Linked DNA regions of Nothobranchius furzeri. The main gene of each other region encodes a partner of the protein of the gene in region 2 in a complex. Links are inferred from orthologs where the notes say so. Each region holds a gene or a part of one and is shown on either strand. Other genes may lie near its edges.

Region 1 (3,893 bases), on a different chromosome or scaffold from region 2:
AATCCCAGAAGATCAGAAGTTTCTGAAACACTCAAGAGCAGTCCATCTGGCACCAACAACCATGCCACGTTCAAAGTCCCTTAAATCACCTTTCTTCCCTATTCTGAAGCTCAGTTTGAACTGCAGCGGATCGTCTTGACCATGTCAACGTGCCTAAATACAATGAGTTGCCACCATGTGATTGGCTGATTAGTAATTTGTGTTAATAAGCAGTTGGTCAGGTGTACTCAATAAAGTGGCCAGTGAGTGTATAGTGAAAACAGGAGTTAACCAAAAACAAAGCCTTGGGGTACTCCACAAATGGTGTGCATTGAAAGTTTATCTCCAAACCCCTTTCCTGCTGCCTGATGACCAGAGCATCATTTTATCAGTGCCAAGTTCCCGGGAAAACTTTTCTAGTATTTTTATATAACTGCTTTTCCCCTTTTCTGCTTGGGTCATTTTCCACCATTAGGTGCGAGTTAGCTTAAGTCAGTGTCTTAACTTGAACAATTATTCTATTATTCCAAGGGGGTCAACCATCAATCCCAAACATTCACTGATTTATTTACATTAAATCAGACGTCATGAACAGAAATTTGTCACATTATTCAACGTAATTATTTTTAATTAGCATATATCAACATTTTAATTTTTTAATCAAATGTACTTTCAGTATACCAATTCTTACATTATTTACATTCAATTTGTTTTTTTTCTAAGTCAATGCATCTATCAGATATGAAACCTTCTAAAATGATCTTACAGAGAGCTTCCATCAATATAAAAACAGATTTTCCTATTTAGTAATCAGTGCTTCAAATACAAAGACCACGTTAAATGGCTGTGTAGATCATTCAGTTCCAGTCAACCAGGTCTGCTGTGCGGTCTGAGGCATCTTCAGATATCAATGATAGCAAATATTTCTGGTTTTTCTTTGTCGTGGATCTGCATTGCAGAGTATGTGATGGCTTTCACCTCAGTTCCCTTGAAAGACGGCATACAGCAGGACAAATGAGTAACAATAGTCTCTTCCAATCTCACTTTTCACAATAAAGTTTCTTCCATGGCCTACCTGCGGATGCTTTGCTAGAGAAAATTCTTCACCCCACCTTTAAAAAAGGAAATAGAAAGAGTTGGAAATAAAAAATACAAACTGGTTTGTTTAACTGAATATTCTAAACTTACCCAATAGAGCGAATTTTGAACTGCATCCTGTCAATGGACAAAACTTTGATCTCCTAATAAACAAATAAAAGACGTGTTTAACTAGATTACTTTAGTTCACACTTGTGATGTGGAAACTGCTCCATGGCTTAAGAAACCAGCATGACGGAGCATGTTTCAAAGCTAGCGGGGACAAGTATTCACAACTATTCAAGAGACTCACCCTGGGAATAAAGAAAAGATCTGCACAGAACTTGTATAACCAGTCGTCTAAAAAGTGGAAAAGAAGGGACTCCATATCTTCACCTTTGAAACAGAACAAGCAGATTGATTGTTTAGGTGTTTTACACATGTTAAACCAGCATGACGTACATTGATCAGCGGCAAAACTAAAACACAATAAACTGATCATCCGATAACGATCCCCACCTTCTGATTCCACTTCCACCGTATCGATCGGTTCCACGGTCTCTGTGTCCGTCATGTAGCCAAACATCCCCATGGCACACTGCTCAAAGGCTTCCTCCAAAGAGTCTCCCCAGGAGTGGATTCTTTAAAATGAATATGTAAATATTCTTACTGTGATTACTGAGCAGCAAACATTGCACAGCACGGGGAATGAGACACTCACTGTACATCAGCTGTGTGATCCAGGTCTGAAATAAAACACAGGCTGACATCAATTTACTGAAAAGAAACAGCTATGATGATTACATTCAACAACTTCATTTGAAAAGTTGAAGACTTTCTTCCACTGTTACATGAGGAAAACAGCTAAGCTAACAACTTGCTGTATCATTATTTCGTACTTACATTCATATTTCTTGTTGATCGGCGGGTATTTAGCTTTAATAGCTTTCTGATCATCTGTCAAATCTAGTTCACGGTCTTCCATTGTAGTTTTAAGCCTTTTAAACGTTTAAAGTGACTATTTCTGCCTTACACCATGTTAGCGTAAGAAAAGGAAAATGCTGCGTTCAAAGTCCAAAGTTGTGGCTCGTATATTCTATTGTCCGCGTTTACGTCTGTACAATACAAAGTGTAAGTGAATAAAAATATATACTCCGTCATCAAATTTATTTTGCATCTTTTATTAGAAAGAACTAATATCAGTTACAGTATTAACACAAACAGAAACAATTTTCTACAAAAGTGGCTATGATCATTTATTTTTCTGTTGTAGGCTAATTGATTAGAAATTGGAAAATATTTTTCCTTTATTGTTTACTTTAGTTTAGATTTGTGTTATACTAGTTCAATTAAAAATGTAAGGTAAATGGACAGGTCCACCTGCTCACAAATCCAATTTGTTTACCCGACTTCTAAATTCCGAGCTGCCATGTCCCATGTAATCAAATTGACGTTCCGGAAGTAGTAGCGTGTGTACGTCAGACTTCCGATCGACTTTACTGTATGCTGGTTGGCTAGTCCTGTTCTATGGAGTTGGCGCCATTGCAGGGCTGTCGTGCTGTGTTCTGTGCGTTCTTCCCCAAAATAACACATTTTTAGCCTGAATCAGCTAATTAGCTACGGTGCAATGGCCGATAAAGACGGTAAGAGCGTTAGTCTATCGTCACTACGGGATTAGGTGGAAAGGTTTTTCGTATTGAACGCTTAAAACCCAAATCCGGGTGGACCGGCAACGGTTCGCGCGCAGCTAGAATCTTTCATTGTTAGCGGCATGCTAGCTAGTAGCCGCTAACGCGTTGGCGACACGGGACTTGGAACATCAAATATACAGATCACGGATTTATATATTTAGCGTATATAAGTGTTTTGTAGTAATTTTGATTACATTCCTCGTATGCTTGTTATATTTTATTTGTAAAATTAGCTAATATGGTAACCATTATGCTAATTTGACAAGTGAACTATTCGGTTGACATAACCGAAATGATACTATGGTTTTTGTTCCCTCTCAGAGTTCTATGTTCATATTGGTGATTTGCAGGGATGACTTTAATGTTGGTTGTTGTTTTTTTATGCAGCTGCTTTTGATGACGCTGTGGAAGAAAGGGTGATCAATGAAGAGTACAAGATCTGGAAGAAGAACACCCCTTTCCTCTATGATCTGGTCATGACTCATGCCCTGGAGTGGCCCAGTCTCACTGCTCAGTGGCTGCCAGACGTCACCAGGTGAGAATGTGCTTTTACACTTATGCAAATGCAAGGAAACTGCATTTTTGTGTAATCCACGTCGCTCTCCACAGACCAGAGGGAAAGGATTATAGTGTGCATCGGCTGGTTCTGGGGACTCACACATCTGATGAGCAGAATCACCTTGTAATTGCCAGTGTTCAGCTTCCAAACGACGATGCCCAGTTTGATGCTTCACACTACGACAGCGAAAAAGGAGGTGAAAAGGCGAAAATGCGCCATGCACGTCTAGTTGGCTACAGGGGCTGATTAATGGATCTGTTACAGTGAATGGTTTAGTGACATGTTCTCTTTTGTTTCAGAGTTTGGAGGCTTTGGCTCTGTAAGTGGTAAAATAGAGATTGAGATAAAAATCAACCATGAGGGAGAAGTGAACAGAGCCCGTTACATGCCCCAGAATCCCTGCATCATTGCCACCAAGACTCCCACCAGCGATGTGCTGGTGTTTGATTACACAAAACATCCCTCTAAGCCTGGTAAGATCTATGGCAAAGCAGCAAGTTTGATATTCTCACCCTTTGCATCTCCTTGCAACGCTGGCTCTGTTTGAATTTAAGACCCTTCTGGAGAGTGCACCCCAGACCTGCGTC
Region 2 (3,910 bases):
TTCTCTTCTACACCGATGGGTGTTGTGGTAGCCAAACACAAAAACTCACCTCCAGTGTCAAAACCCAAAACGTGTTTGTCTAAAGCCACCGGGACTCCCTGGGGACAAAAGAGAAAGTATGAAGCTTAAAGATCAGAATCACAAGCTGAAGGTGATCCAGAACAAAATGTTTTCTTTCAGATTTACTGATCATCGATTTAAATGAAACAACATGGGCTAAGAAAATAAATAAATAAAGACTTCACGTGACATTTTTATAGTGTGTACACTCAAAAAAAATCATAGAACAGCTCAGGACTTCTGAAGAGTGTTTCTGGTTAAATGTCGTCTAGTTGTTGTGGAAAGGCCTTTGAAAACCCTCAGTTTAGAGAAATGGAGATTAGCTAATTGTGACAAGCTAGCAGCTAGTCAAAATGAGGCTAATTATAAAATGTCTTAAAATAACTACAATCTCTAAATCATGCAAATACTTTTTTACAATTAATACTGTCATAAATGTCATGTTTTGTAGTTAATCTAGCACAGTGGTTCTCAATTAGTGAGGCGGGGCGGCTTGAGAGTCCACGTAAGTAGAAGCCATATTCAACACGTACCTTGACATCACTGAAAAGAATTGAGGACAACTGTTTAAGCAGAAATATTATGAAAAGCCAGCCAGAAGCACCATGTGTGTAAATAATAGGGGTGTGTATTGGTGAAATTACGGCGATACGATACACATCATGATACAGGGAAGACGATACAATACATCACGATATATTGCGATACATTCGATATTAACGACTTTTTTTAGACTGAATTTATCATAGTGAAATTCAACAAACAATCCAAACCGATACTAACATGTTTAACATGAGGTATCTGAACCATAATGGAGGGATTTGCATTTCAACGGTGGAAACAAAACCCACTGGCACACTGCTGCCAACTAGTGATCGGCGTTTGAATTGCACCAAAAGAAATGAAAATACACAAATGTTTGTATGTAAATTCTTCCAAAAATTAGATACACTGCTTTTGAATATCGATATATCGCAGAAAACTATACCGCAATATATTGCGATATCGATATTTTCGATACACCACTTTTGAAAATCGATATATCACTGAAAAAAATATCACGATATATTGCCATATCAATATTTTCTGACAACCCTAGTAAATTATTATTATTATTATTTAATAACTGATATATTTTTAACTAGAGCGTTTTAAAAATTGCAAACTCTTTCTCCAAACTGAGGCCATTCAAAGAACTCCCTACAGCTGGTAAGATACTAACTGTTCACAGAAACACAGAAAAATGTTTAACGTTATCTTCAAGACTAATAAGGTCATTTTCTTGACCATTTTAGCTAATTCTACCATTTCTGTTTAATTGACTAGTTTGTTGCTGTTTTACAGTGTAACGTGTACCTCTCTGTTCTGGTTGGCTTTTGTGATGGCCTCTGGTGAAAGTCTCTCCTGGATCAGGATGCGGATAGCCTGCCGAGTGAAAACATTAGGAAACGTCACAAAGTAAACAACTTGAGCACATTCAGGGATGATGTAGACACGCATACAGCTCACCTTGAGCATGACCAGGTAATCGTCGTGTCGTTGGATCTTTAGAATGTTCGCCAGAGCGGTGACTCCTGCTTTAAAATCTGGAGAACTGCCTGAAATGTATTTATTTTTTATTAGACCTTTAGGTGATGAATGAAACGTTAAAAGGTAGTAACAGCAAAGATGTGTTCCTGCTTACTGTCCAGGTTGATGAGAGGATCCACGGCTCTGTCGCCGTTCCCCGAAGCGGCCAGCGGCGGGCAGTTTTTATACTTATCAACTACAAAACAAAACACCCAGAATAAGGAAAAAACGCCATCATATAATAACCTAATTATAATTCAGCTTTCTATGCGTGTTGGCATTATTTCCTTTGTTATGGCCCCCTCTATTGGTCGTGGTCGGTATTTCAACCATTGACACGCCACATCAAAGCTGTGATTTCTGAATAAATATCATTTTAGGAGGTTTTTACAGATAAACGATCACATCAGATACCGTTGTCTCCATATTCATAACGCACAGCCAGCCCCAGTAACCAGTCCAAAGCCTCCTTACGCTCCTGGACTCCAAATGGACAGGTCAGGTCCTGCAGGTACTACACACACACACACACACACACACACACACACACACACACACACACACACACACACACACACACACACACACGCACGCACACGCGCACACACACACACACACACACACGTAAGCTCTAGTTGGGACTCTTGTTAGGAGATAAGCTCTGAGATAGTCTCACCTTCTCATAGGCTTTGGGCCACTCAGAGCTGGGGATGTTCCTAAGGTTGCCCCGGTCTTCGATCTTGTAGTGTCGGATCTTCTGGTCCTCCAGCCACACGATGCAGTTTCTGAAGTGAGTTTCATCTGACAAAAGCGGATGCGTCACTATTTTACTGGTTTTATGAAAACACATAATTTTTTTAATCACCATCTGCTGTTATACACTCTGATAATTAGTGAAGCAAAGGAGTCCAGCTGTTTAACTGATAAATATAGCCCAATGAGACACACGGTCATCGTTTAGTCTGCTAGACTAGCAAAATACATCCCTAGAAATGAAGCTATCTTACAAATATTAATGCCGAATACACATGTGGTGTGTTTTTGATTGATTTATGAAGATATTAAAGCTGATAAAACACGTGTGCTACTAAAACTGAGCACAACCTTAAAATAGTCTATTTGTAGCGTTTAGTTCGCCGCCTCAGGACTTCGTGCTAACTTGGTTCCATTAAAACTCACCGAACCTCCTAAACAGCCTGTTTATTGCTTACCTGAGCAGTCGAACCCGCTGGGATCGTGATAATCTAGAGCTGTTAGTTTTCTGCGAAACATTTCACGAAGTTTTAATGTGAAACCCTTCGTTGTTTCTAAATAATTAAACCTTAAATGACCACTACGTTGCTAGCTCAGTGTGCGGCAGCGCGCATGCGTTGTCGGAGTTGAGTATTTCCGGTTGTGCTTTCCAAAATAAGAGCTAACAACGAATTCACATCTGAAACAAGTGTCTTATTACGTCACAGGATGGATGCTACTCTGAAGGAACGAACTGGTTTAGTAAAGGAAGTGTATGGAGAGGCCAGGAAAAAGGGGACCTTTGCCATTGTCTCTTTTTCAAATACCCACATTTGAGTTTGTTGAAGCATACGTCCATTACTTTAAGCTTGTAGACACCAAAGAGCTTGAAATAACGTTATCCGTGGTCTATCTTTTTCTTTAAAATGACTTAATACCAGCTCAGTGGTCTAGTGGTAGTGTGTCCGCCCTGTCTGGAATTCGGGGTTCAAATCCCAGTCGTGTCACACCAAAGACTTTAAGAATGGGACCCAATGCCTCCTTGCTTGACACTCAACTTTAAAATGGTTGGATTGGGGGTTAAACCACCAACTGGTTCCTGAGCACAGCCATAATTACAGCTCACCCATCCCTATGGCGATGGGTCAAATGTGGAGATGGCACCTTAACTTAAATACATAGTTTATATAACGAAACAGAGAAGTCTCTATACAAATTTGCAAAAAAAAAAAAAAAAAAAACTTTTTAAATTAAGGATTATCATTCAAGTGAGTTTGGTATGTTTGATCAAAACTGGTCTGTTTTTGCAAATTAACTCTTCACAAACACACATTATTGATATTAACTACTCAACAACAGTCTATAGGGAAAAAACAGCTTTATTAAACATGAAGAATTATAAAATGAGGCTAAACTACTCAAGAGAACCCAAAAACAGATGTATCGCTTCATGTGCGTTCAGAAGGGCCTCATGCGTTGGTTGAGGGGCGGGGCTCTGTTGGGCGGTGTGATGGCTATGTCCAAATAGTCTCCAATCTGGAACCGCTGG

What was found.
Region 1: rtraf (region 2) and zbtb8os share a complex: the UniProt entries of both Homo sapiens proteins name them as parts of the tRNA-splicing ligase complex. The link is inferred for Nothobranchius furzeri from reciprocal best matches to the Homo sapiens genes RTRAF and ZBTB8OS.

The regions. Positions count from the first base shown.
Region 1 is NC_091758.1:34,389,425-34,393,317, forward strand, and holds zbtb8os (protein archease), read right to left. Parts: upstream 2,158-3,893; 5' UTR 2,042-2,157; coding exon 1,960-2,041; intron 1,803-1,959; coding exon 1,778-1,802; intron 1,698-1,777; coding exon 1,576-1,697; intron 1,453-1,575; coding exon 1,370-1,452; intron 1,221-1,369; coding exon 1,168-1,220; intron 1,092-1,167; coding exon 1,055-1,091; intron 967-1,054; coding exon 880-966; 3' UTR 526-879; downstream 1-525. Other genes in the region: histone-binding protein RBBP4, read left to right, coding at 2,684-2,699, 3,135-3,282, 3,357-3,502, 3,606-3,779, 3,861-3,893. UniProt on the Homo sapiens protein: Component of the tRNA-splicing ligase complex required to facilitate the enzymatic turnover of catalytic subunit RTCB. Together with DDX1, acts by facilitating the guanylylation of RTCB, a key intermediate step in tRNA ligation.
Region 2 is NC_091754.1:55,851,282-55,855,191, reverse strand, and holds the start of rtraf (RNA transcription, translation and transport factor protein), read right to left. Parts: upstream 3,024-3,910; 5' UTR 2,902-3,023; coding exon 2,841-2,901; intron 2,431-2,840; coding exon 2,306-2,430; intron 2,144-2,305; coding exon 2,044-2,143; intron 1,826-2,043; coding exon 1,745-1,825; intron 1,659-1,744; coding exon 1,570-1,658; intron 1,486-1,569; coding exon 1,417-1,485; intron 99-1,416; coding exon 50-98; intron 1-49. Other genes in the region: histone deacetylase complex subunit SAP18, read right to left, coding at 3,820-3,910. UniProt on the Homo sapiens protein: RNA-binding protein involved in modulation of mRNA transcription by Polymerase II. Component of the tRNA-splicing ligase complex and is required for tRNA ligation.